2 linked regions of the Drosophila melanogaster genome follow. The protein of the gene in region 1 interacts with the protein of each later gene in a pairwise test. Each region holds a gene or a part of one and is shown in the gene's direction. Other genes may lie near its edges.

Region 1 (3,933 bases):
ACTGATTTGAAAATTAGTCCTGCGACTCTGCAGGGAGATCATTATGCCAGCGTCATGTTCCGAGCTGTTTCCCACTACTCCACCGCCAAGGGGAATTTCTCCAAGGCACTGATAGTTAAAACAATGCCGGAACAGGAAGGTCACAAAAAGGATATGCTGTCAAATTCGCCGATATTCAAAACGGAGATCTTAATGTACAGCAAAGCTCTTCCAGAGCTCGAGAGAATTCTCCGGGAGGCAGGGGATACTACCAAGCTCTATGCGCCTTGTATCTATCACAGCTTGGAACCTCATCAGGTGATGATATTCGAGGATCTGGTGCCACAGGGGTACACCGTCATCCGAGATCGTTATCCTAATAAAGAAGAACTTCAGAAAGCCTTCTTCAAGTTGGCAAAGTGGCATGCAGCCAGCATGAAAGTTTTAAATGAGGTGAACTAGTGCACCATCCATTGCAAAAGATAACAAAGTAAGAACTTTTCTTTTCAAGCGACCTGACTTTCTTAAGGAATTTAAGTATGGGTTATGGGGCATGCCCAACTTTCTGAACGATTCTATAGTGACAACTGGAGTACCCTGTTTCCTGGAAATGTTAGACAAGGTTCCGGAACTCACGAAATATAAGCCGTATTTCGAAAAAATAAAGGATAACTACATTCAGCAGATGAGTGCAGTCATGGAAGAATATCGCACTAATCCGAAGCCAAATAGGTACTACGTGCTGTGTCACGGGGATTTTCATGGGCGCAACATGATGTTTAGGTATAACAAGGAAACAGGGTCTTTCGAGGACGTAATGCTGGTGGATTTCCAGATCAGTAATGTTTGCCCCCTTTCCATTGACCTAATTTACTCCATCTTCATGGTAATGGATACGGAGGATCGTTGGGATCTTGGAAAGGAATATATCAATTATTATTTCTCTGTTCTGGCGGACACTCTGAAAAAAATAGGCTTCAAAGGTGAAATGCCAACTCAGACAGGAGTGTGGGAGCATATTCATGGCCATAAGGATTACGGTAAGGAACTAAAATTGAAAGACAGCTGTTGACTTGTATGCTTATTCCTTGTTACATCGTTATAGAATTCTTCATGATGACCAGCTTTCTACCCCTGGTGGCTGCCATGAATACGAAAACATTTAAAAGTATGGATTCATTTTTTGATCCGCAAACGAAACAAAAGTCTTTCTTTTTGGATGAATACATTACGGATGTCAAGATGCTATTGCGAAAATTCGAAGAACTGGGATATTTTAAAGATCTTTAATCCGATTGTATAAAATTAATTGAAATAAAAAAATAACTTCACATTTACCTACATAATTGCACTCGTTATTAACAAACATATACGTGTAAAGTTGCATGCATTCAAGGTAAAGTTCTTTCCCGCTATTGATTTCGAAATTCTAAAAGAAACATTTAAAACATACATTTATTATTTTATTGCTTATATATATTTACTGAAATCCGTTTCTTGCGTTTACCAAATATGTATATTATTATTATAAATAAAATCTTGGAATTTGTTTTATTAATATTGCTGACATCATCATGACTTCACATCATGACGGATAGGGCTGTTAAATTATAAACTTAAAGTTGGCAATGTGTCATTCAGTAATCAAAAAAGTCATTATCCTAATCATGTTCGGAACACGATGTTAAAGAATAGAACAAGGAAACAGAGGTCTTTGTGGCAGTAGTGATTTCAAGATCAGCTACACATATGCGCTCCAATACCATTGTCCCAATTTACTCCAACATCAAACTGAAAAAAGTGGGCTTCAGGGAGATATGTTCCCTTCCAGGAATCTAAAAGCATATCCATGGCCATAAGGATTACGGTCTTACGTCTTACATTCTGTCAAGATGCAGTTTCGAAAATATAGTTATAGTGAAACAACATAGTTATTTTGAAAATCTGTATCACGATTGTATAAAATCGGGCAAACTTGAATTTAATTCGTCTTCAAACATTTGATAATCCAGTAAGCTGGACTAACATTAAACATTTTTAGCGTTTTATACTTCTTACACCTGACCTAAATATTATTTCATAGAACAGAATAAATATCTGATTTATTTGTAAGTTTCTATTGATCACAGTATTTGTCCTGTAGAACAGATTTCAATGCATATTGATAAGATCATTGAGTAGACGTATTTCACACAAAATCGAAAAGTTTCGTGTTAAAAGGTTCAAGCCGCTTTCGAAAGCTCACTTAGCCAGCCTTTATAATAAGTGGGCACATAGGAAGGTTTAGTATACCCAGATCAAACATCATTCCGAATTGTTTGTTGAGAGCGCGAAATAAAAATGCCAGAAAACGCAGATACCGAGCAATTTAATGCCGATGAGCTGGAGGCTCCTGCATGGCTGAATGCCCAGTTTATTACTGACGTTCTTAGAACCTACGAAAAGTGTCCGGAACTGGAGGTTACCGATCTTAAAATCACTCCGGCGAGTGCCCAGGGAGATCACTACGCAAGCGTAATGTTCCGTACTACTGCTGAGTATACCACTTCGAAAGGAAAGTTCTGTAAGCCGCTAATCATTAAAACGATGCCAGAACAAGAAGGACACAAGAAGGATATGCTTAGCGACTCACATTTGTTCTCCACCGAGATTAATGCTTACACTAAGGCTCTGCCCGAATTCGAGAGAATTCTCCGGGAGGCAGGCGACGATACAAAGCTATTTGTGCCCTGTATCTACCACAGTCTAGAGCCTCGGCAGGTGTTAATATTCGAGGATTTGGTGCCGCAGGGATACTTCGTGATCCGAGATCGTCCAATAAACATGAACGAATACAAAAATGTTTTCTCCAAACTGGCCAAATGGCATGCTGTTAGCATGAAAGTCTTGAATGAGCAACCTGATATCTTGAAAGACTTCAAGTATGGGCTAATGGAAATGCCTTCTATTATGTCGGATCCAATGGTTACTACTGGAATGGACAACTTTTTGAAAATGATGGACCAGATTCCTGAACTTACAAAGTACAAGCCACACTTTGAGAAAATAAAAGAGAACTACATACAGCGTATGGGTGATGTAATGCAGGAATATCGCAAGAACGTTCAATCCGATGGATACTACGTGATGTGTCACGGAGATTTTCATGGCCGAAATATGATGTTCAATAAAAATGAGGAGGTCATGTTTGTAGATTTCCAAATCTGTAACCTGTGTCCCATTACAATCGATTTGAGTTATTCTGTGTACATGCTCATGGAGCCAGAGCAGCGATGGGATCTCGGAAAGGATCTTATTAACTTTTATTTTTCGGTTTTGGAGGACACGTTAAAAAAAGTTGGCTACAAGGGCAAGATGCCGACCAATGATGGTCTGTGGAAGCAAATACACCGACACAAGTTTTATGGTAAGTGCCTATTTTATTTATCGCCTAGTTTCAATAAGCCTAACCACTTCAATATTTTTACAGACTTCTTCCTTTTAACCACTTTTTCGCCAATGATTGTGGCCGTTAAAGCGAATACGTTTAAAATACACGAGTTAATTCAAGATCCGGAAATCAGACAAAAATCATACCTCTATGACCCTTATGTTCAAGATGTCAAAAAGCTTTTGGGTAAATATGAGGAAATGGGATACTTTAACGATCTTTGATCTATTTTTAAAGCTATCAGTTAAAATGTGTATATATTGCATGGCTAATTGATCGCAACTATATGAACCATGTAATTTTTTAGGGTTTCCTTTTGCTTTAAATTAAATAACAAAACGTATCATCAAATTAAATTTTTCTTTTTTTTTAATTTGGGTGTAAAATACTCATGGAATATTTGTCTGGAAAGCTTACTGTATGTGGAAGCCCGAATACTTTTGATCGAATGTAACGCAATCTTCATTAGCCCTTTGTCACTATTCATCCAAGAATCCAGATAGCTCGAATTCTTTAATAGTTCG
Region 2 (3,933 bases), on another chromosome or scaffold:
TTAATAGCTTGGATCCCGATAAGGCTTACATTCAAATTACTTATGTTGAACCCTACTTTGAAACATATGAAATGCGTCATCGTGAGACATACTTTGAGCGGAATTTCAATATAAGTATGATATGAATTAAACAGATAATTTAAATCGAAATTTAAAATTATAATTTTAACATTTTTGGTTTATGCAGAACGTTTTATATATGCCACGCCTTTTACTAAAAATGGAAAGGCACATGGCGAACTAAATGAGCAGTGTAAACGGAAAACGATTTTGACCACGGCGAATCACTTTCCATACGTAAAAACTCGCATTATGGTAATTAGCCGACAGCAAATAGTCCTGGAACCGATTGAAGTGGCAATTGAAGTAAGTTATGTTGTAAAATCCCAAAAGTTAATAAAATTAAACGTTATTGCCTAGGATATTCAAAAAAAAACATTGGAATTGGCAGCTGCCACGAATCAAGAGCCAGCAGACCCCAAAATATTGCAAATGGTACTGCAGGGATGTATTGGAACCACTGTTAACCAAGGACCGATGGAAATGGCGAGTGTGTTCCTTTCCAATTTATCCGACGGAACAACTGTACCGACAAAACACCAAAACAAACTTCGGTTGTGCTTTCGCGAGTTTTCAAAGCGTTGTGCTGATGCTTTGAAAAAGAATCGCAATCTAATACTTTCAGATCAAAAAGATTACCAACGAGAACTGGAACGTAACAACGATCGGTTCATTGAACGATTGACTCCCTTTATTACTCTTACATCAGTTCAGAATCATGGCGTTGTCAAGTAAGTTTTTATTGTTATACAGTGAAAAGGAAAGTTACATTGTGTATACATATGTATTAAAATTCTCATGTCTTTCTTATTTTGTTCCTCAACGGAGTGCTCTAAATAATAGACATAAGATGCTTAATTAGATATTTATAGAATCCAGCCTAATATAGATATTACTTTACTATATGACTATATTAAAAACCACCAGTGCAAAAAGTAAACATTAACTTATATAATTTTTTATTTCTTTTCTAAATACATCCAATAGGGCCAACGCGTACAACAACAAAAGTACTCCTTTGAAATGGTAACTTCTTGCACACGACTTAGTCTGCAATCAAATTATCATACTTTTGGTCTTTCATGTCTAGCGTATCGGATTATTTTAAGTAAATCTTACATTTTAAATTATCGATCTCTATAATTGCTAATGTAATAGCATAACTTTTTTATGCATCTAATAGATTAAGCAAAATATTAAAAAGCGAAAAAAATAAAGTTTACACTTTTTTACTTTTACGAAAATAGTTAAAGCAACATGTTTCAAGCTACAAGGAGGTGCAGTTAAAGTGAGTGAAACAAATCGTATCCTACAGCAACAAAATTTAATTGTCGATTACCAGAAAAGGGAAGTATTCGAAAATGATAATCCTCGAATTTCGCATGGGTCGTTAACGGTTGTTAGATTGACTAAGAGTGAGCTCCGTGAGGCAATGGTATCGAACGCGACCTATCGGTATTCGCGAAACTTTCGAGTATACTATCGATGTTTTTATTTATCGATAGTGTCGGCTTTAATTACACGTAAACTCAGATAGTTTGCCGGTTAAAAAGACAATAAATAAATAAAAATGAGAATCAAGTATTGTTGGCTCGCAACGCTAGTATTCATAGCCGCTGCTTCGGCGTCATATTCTCCCGAAAAGCCTGTTCCGCCGCCCTGCAGGGCATGTACCCAGCTTGTTAGCTCTTTCAGGGCAGGACTCGAAAGGACAAAACGCGGACACGCGGGCGGGGACACGGCATGGGAGGAGGAAAAGTTGCGTTCGTACAAGAACAGCGAGGTACGGCTAGTGGAGATCCAGGAGAAGCTATGTTCGGAAGGAGAAGTGATAAACAAGGATCACTGCCACAACCTGGCTAACGAGCACGAGGCGCTTCTCGAGGACTGGTTTATCCACAAACAAACAGAGAGTCCCGACCTGCAGTCATGGCTTTGCATCGATCAGCTAACAGTCTGCTGTCCGCTGAACACCTACGGACCAGACTGCCTGACCTGCACCGAGTGCAATGGAAATGGTAAGTAATGATAACCAAGTATTACAGGCCACAACTTACATAAGTGTGTCAACTTAAGATTGCCGTCTTCGTTAATTTTACCCACATGACAAATTTCAGGAAAATGCAAAGGAGACGGAACTAGAAAGGGTAACGGAAAGTGCAAATGTGATCCCGGCTATGCGGGTCCAAACTGCAACGAATGTGGACCGGAGCACTACGAATCATTCCGTGACGAAAAGAAATTGCTGTGTACACAGTGCCATGCGGCCTGTGGGGAAGGAGGCTGCACGGGAGGTGGTCCCAAGAGCTGCCGCAAGTGTAAGAAGGGCTGGAGCATGGACTCGGAGGCAGGATGTGTCGACATTAATGAGTGCTTGGAGCAACAGCGTCCAAACCCTTGCCGACCACAGCAGTTCTGCGTGAACAATGAGGGCTCCTTTAGTTGCCTGGAGTGTGATCGATCTTGCGATGGATGCGATGGTGATGGCCCTGACATGTGCAGGAAGTGTGCGGATGGCTATGAGTTGAAGGAAGGAAAGTGTCATGGTAAGTAAGACAGAAATTTAATAAATTTGCTTTTAAGCAACGCATTGTCCACTGTATGTATTGCGCCTCCGATCATTTAAGATATTTCTGCGGAGCAACGCAGCAACTACGTAAGCTTTACGCGAATGCTCACCTACTTCGGAATGTGCGTGGCCACCTGTGTCATCTTCCAGAGCTCTACTCATATTGCCTGGGGTTGCATTGTTGGGGCGGCAGTGGCAGGGTACATTGCTGTTTCCGAGTACTGGATCAACTCGGAGGCAGGAGGCGGCCACCAACCCGAAATAGATACAAAACAGTTGGAGGAACTAATAATGAAGTCTTTATAAGTCAAAAGACATGTCAACATTGCTTTCCTTTTATGATATACACGAGCGTTTTGAAAAGCATAATCTTTTAACATTCCCCCAAGACATCTAACGATTTTTGTACTTCGTTTGCAGTCCGCAGTGATTCAAACTCCACGGTGCTCGGTGAAGAGTCCACGCACGAAGAATTGTAAAAGTAACCAAAAACGCACACCTTTTGTAGCCAATTTTACTTTAATAGGTAATATTATCAATTGATATGTAATTATAAATTAGAATTTCAAAAAGCAGGGCATGACCATATTTTTTTACACGTACCACACTTAGATATTTATTTGGTTTCAAAAATGTATAAAATCACAAATACAGCATATATTCGTATGAATAAATATTTTTAACTAAAATTACTGACGTAGTGTGCTTTTGTGACGTCCAAATTTTCATTTTGAAGACCATCTGTCGTGTGCAATGTAATACTGCTTTAAGCGGATTAATAAAGGAGCTACAGTGATACGAATGAATCATTGCATTTGGATCTTACAAAATGAAAATTTGTAAACAAAAAATATACACAAGATAACAACCATCACCGCGCTATATAAATAAAAACTCTAAAAATATTAACTAGAGGAACTTAAGCATTACATACGATCGTTCCCTTTGGCTTCTAAAGTTATCCAACACAGTCCGAAACGGATACAGAGCTCCCCCCACAACAGCCATTTAATCCCTACGACCGTGTCAAATGAATTTGACTTGTGCTGGCCGCTAGTCCTATCTCTTCGTCCGATTCATCTGAATCCAATGGACTCACTCGAATGGCTTGGTACCACTTGTTAGTCAGGTCGGCCATCTGTGACTTGCACTCGTGCAATTCCTGACTATTGAACCGACGTGTAAAAAACGGAATAAAGTACTTGCGATCCATGCGCCCAAAACGATCGCGCGCTTGAGTAAAGGTGACGTCCTCTTCCTCGGTGAGTTCAGACAAGTGTTCAGAGTCGATTGCCTGGCCCCAT

What was found.
Region 2: the proteins of CG11893 (region 1) and Creld interact in a two-hybrid assay, tested with the Drosophila melanogaster proteins (one large-scale study listed by BioGRID).

Annotation. Positions count from the first base shown.
Region 1 is NT_033777.3:25,287,608-25,291,540, forward strand, and holds CG11893 (uncharacterized protein), read left to right. Parts: upstream 1-2,281; 5' UTR 2,282-2,319; coding exon 2,320-3,385; intron 3,386-3,448; coding exon 3,449-3,633; 3' UTR 3,634-3,759; downstream 3,760-3,933. Other genes in the region: CG13658 (uncharacterized protein), read left to right, coding at 1-432, 491-1,019, 1,085-1,269; CG31098 (uncharacterized protein), read right to left, coding at 3,889-3,933.
Region 2 is NT_033779.5:100,829-104,761, forward strand, and holds Creld (cysteine rich with EGF like domains), read left to right. Parts: upstream 1-1,551; 5' UTR 1,552-1,630; coding exon 1,631-2,078; intron 2,079-2,177; coding exon 2,178-2,606; intron 2,607-2,687; coding exon 2,688-2,935; 3' UTR 2,936-3,049; coding exon of another isoform or gene 3,050-3,108; 3' UTR 3,109-3,314; downstream 3,315-3,933. Other genes in the region: Zir (Zizimin-related), read left to right, coding at 1-114, 188-366, 421-791, 1,048-1,090; Nhe1 (Na[+]/H[+] hydrogen exchanger 1), read right to left, coding at 3,645-3,933.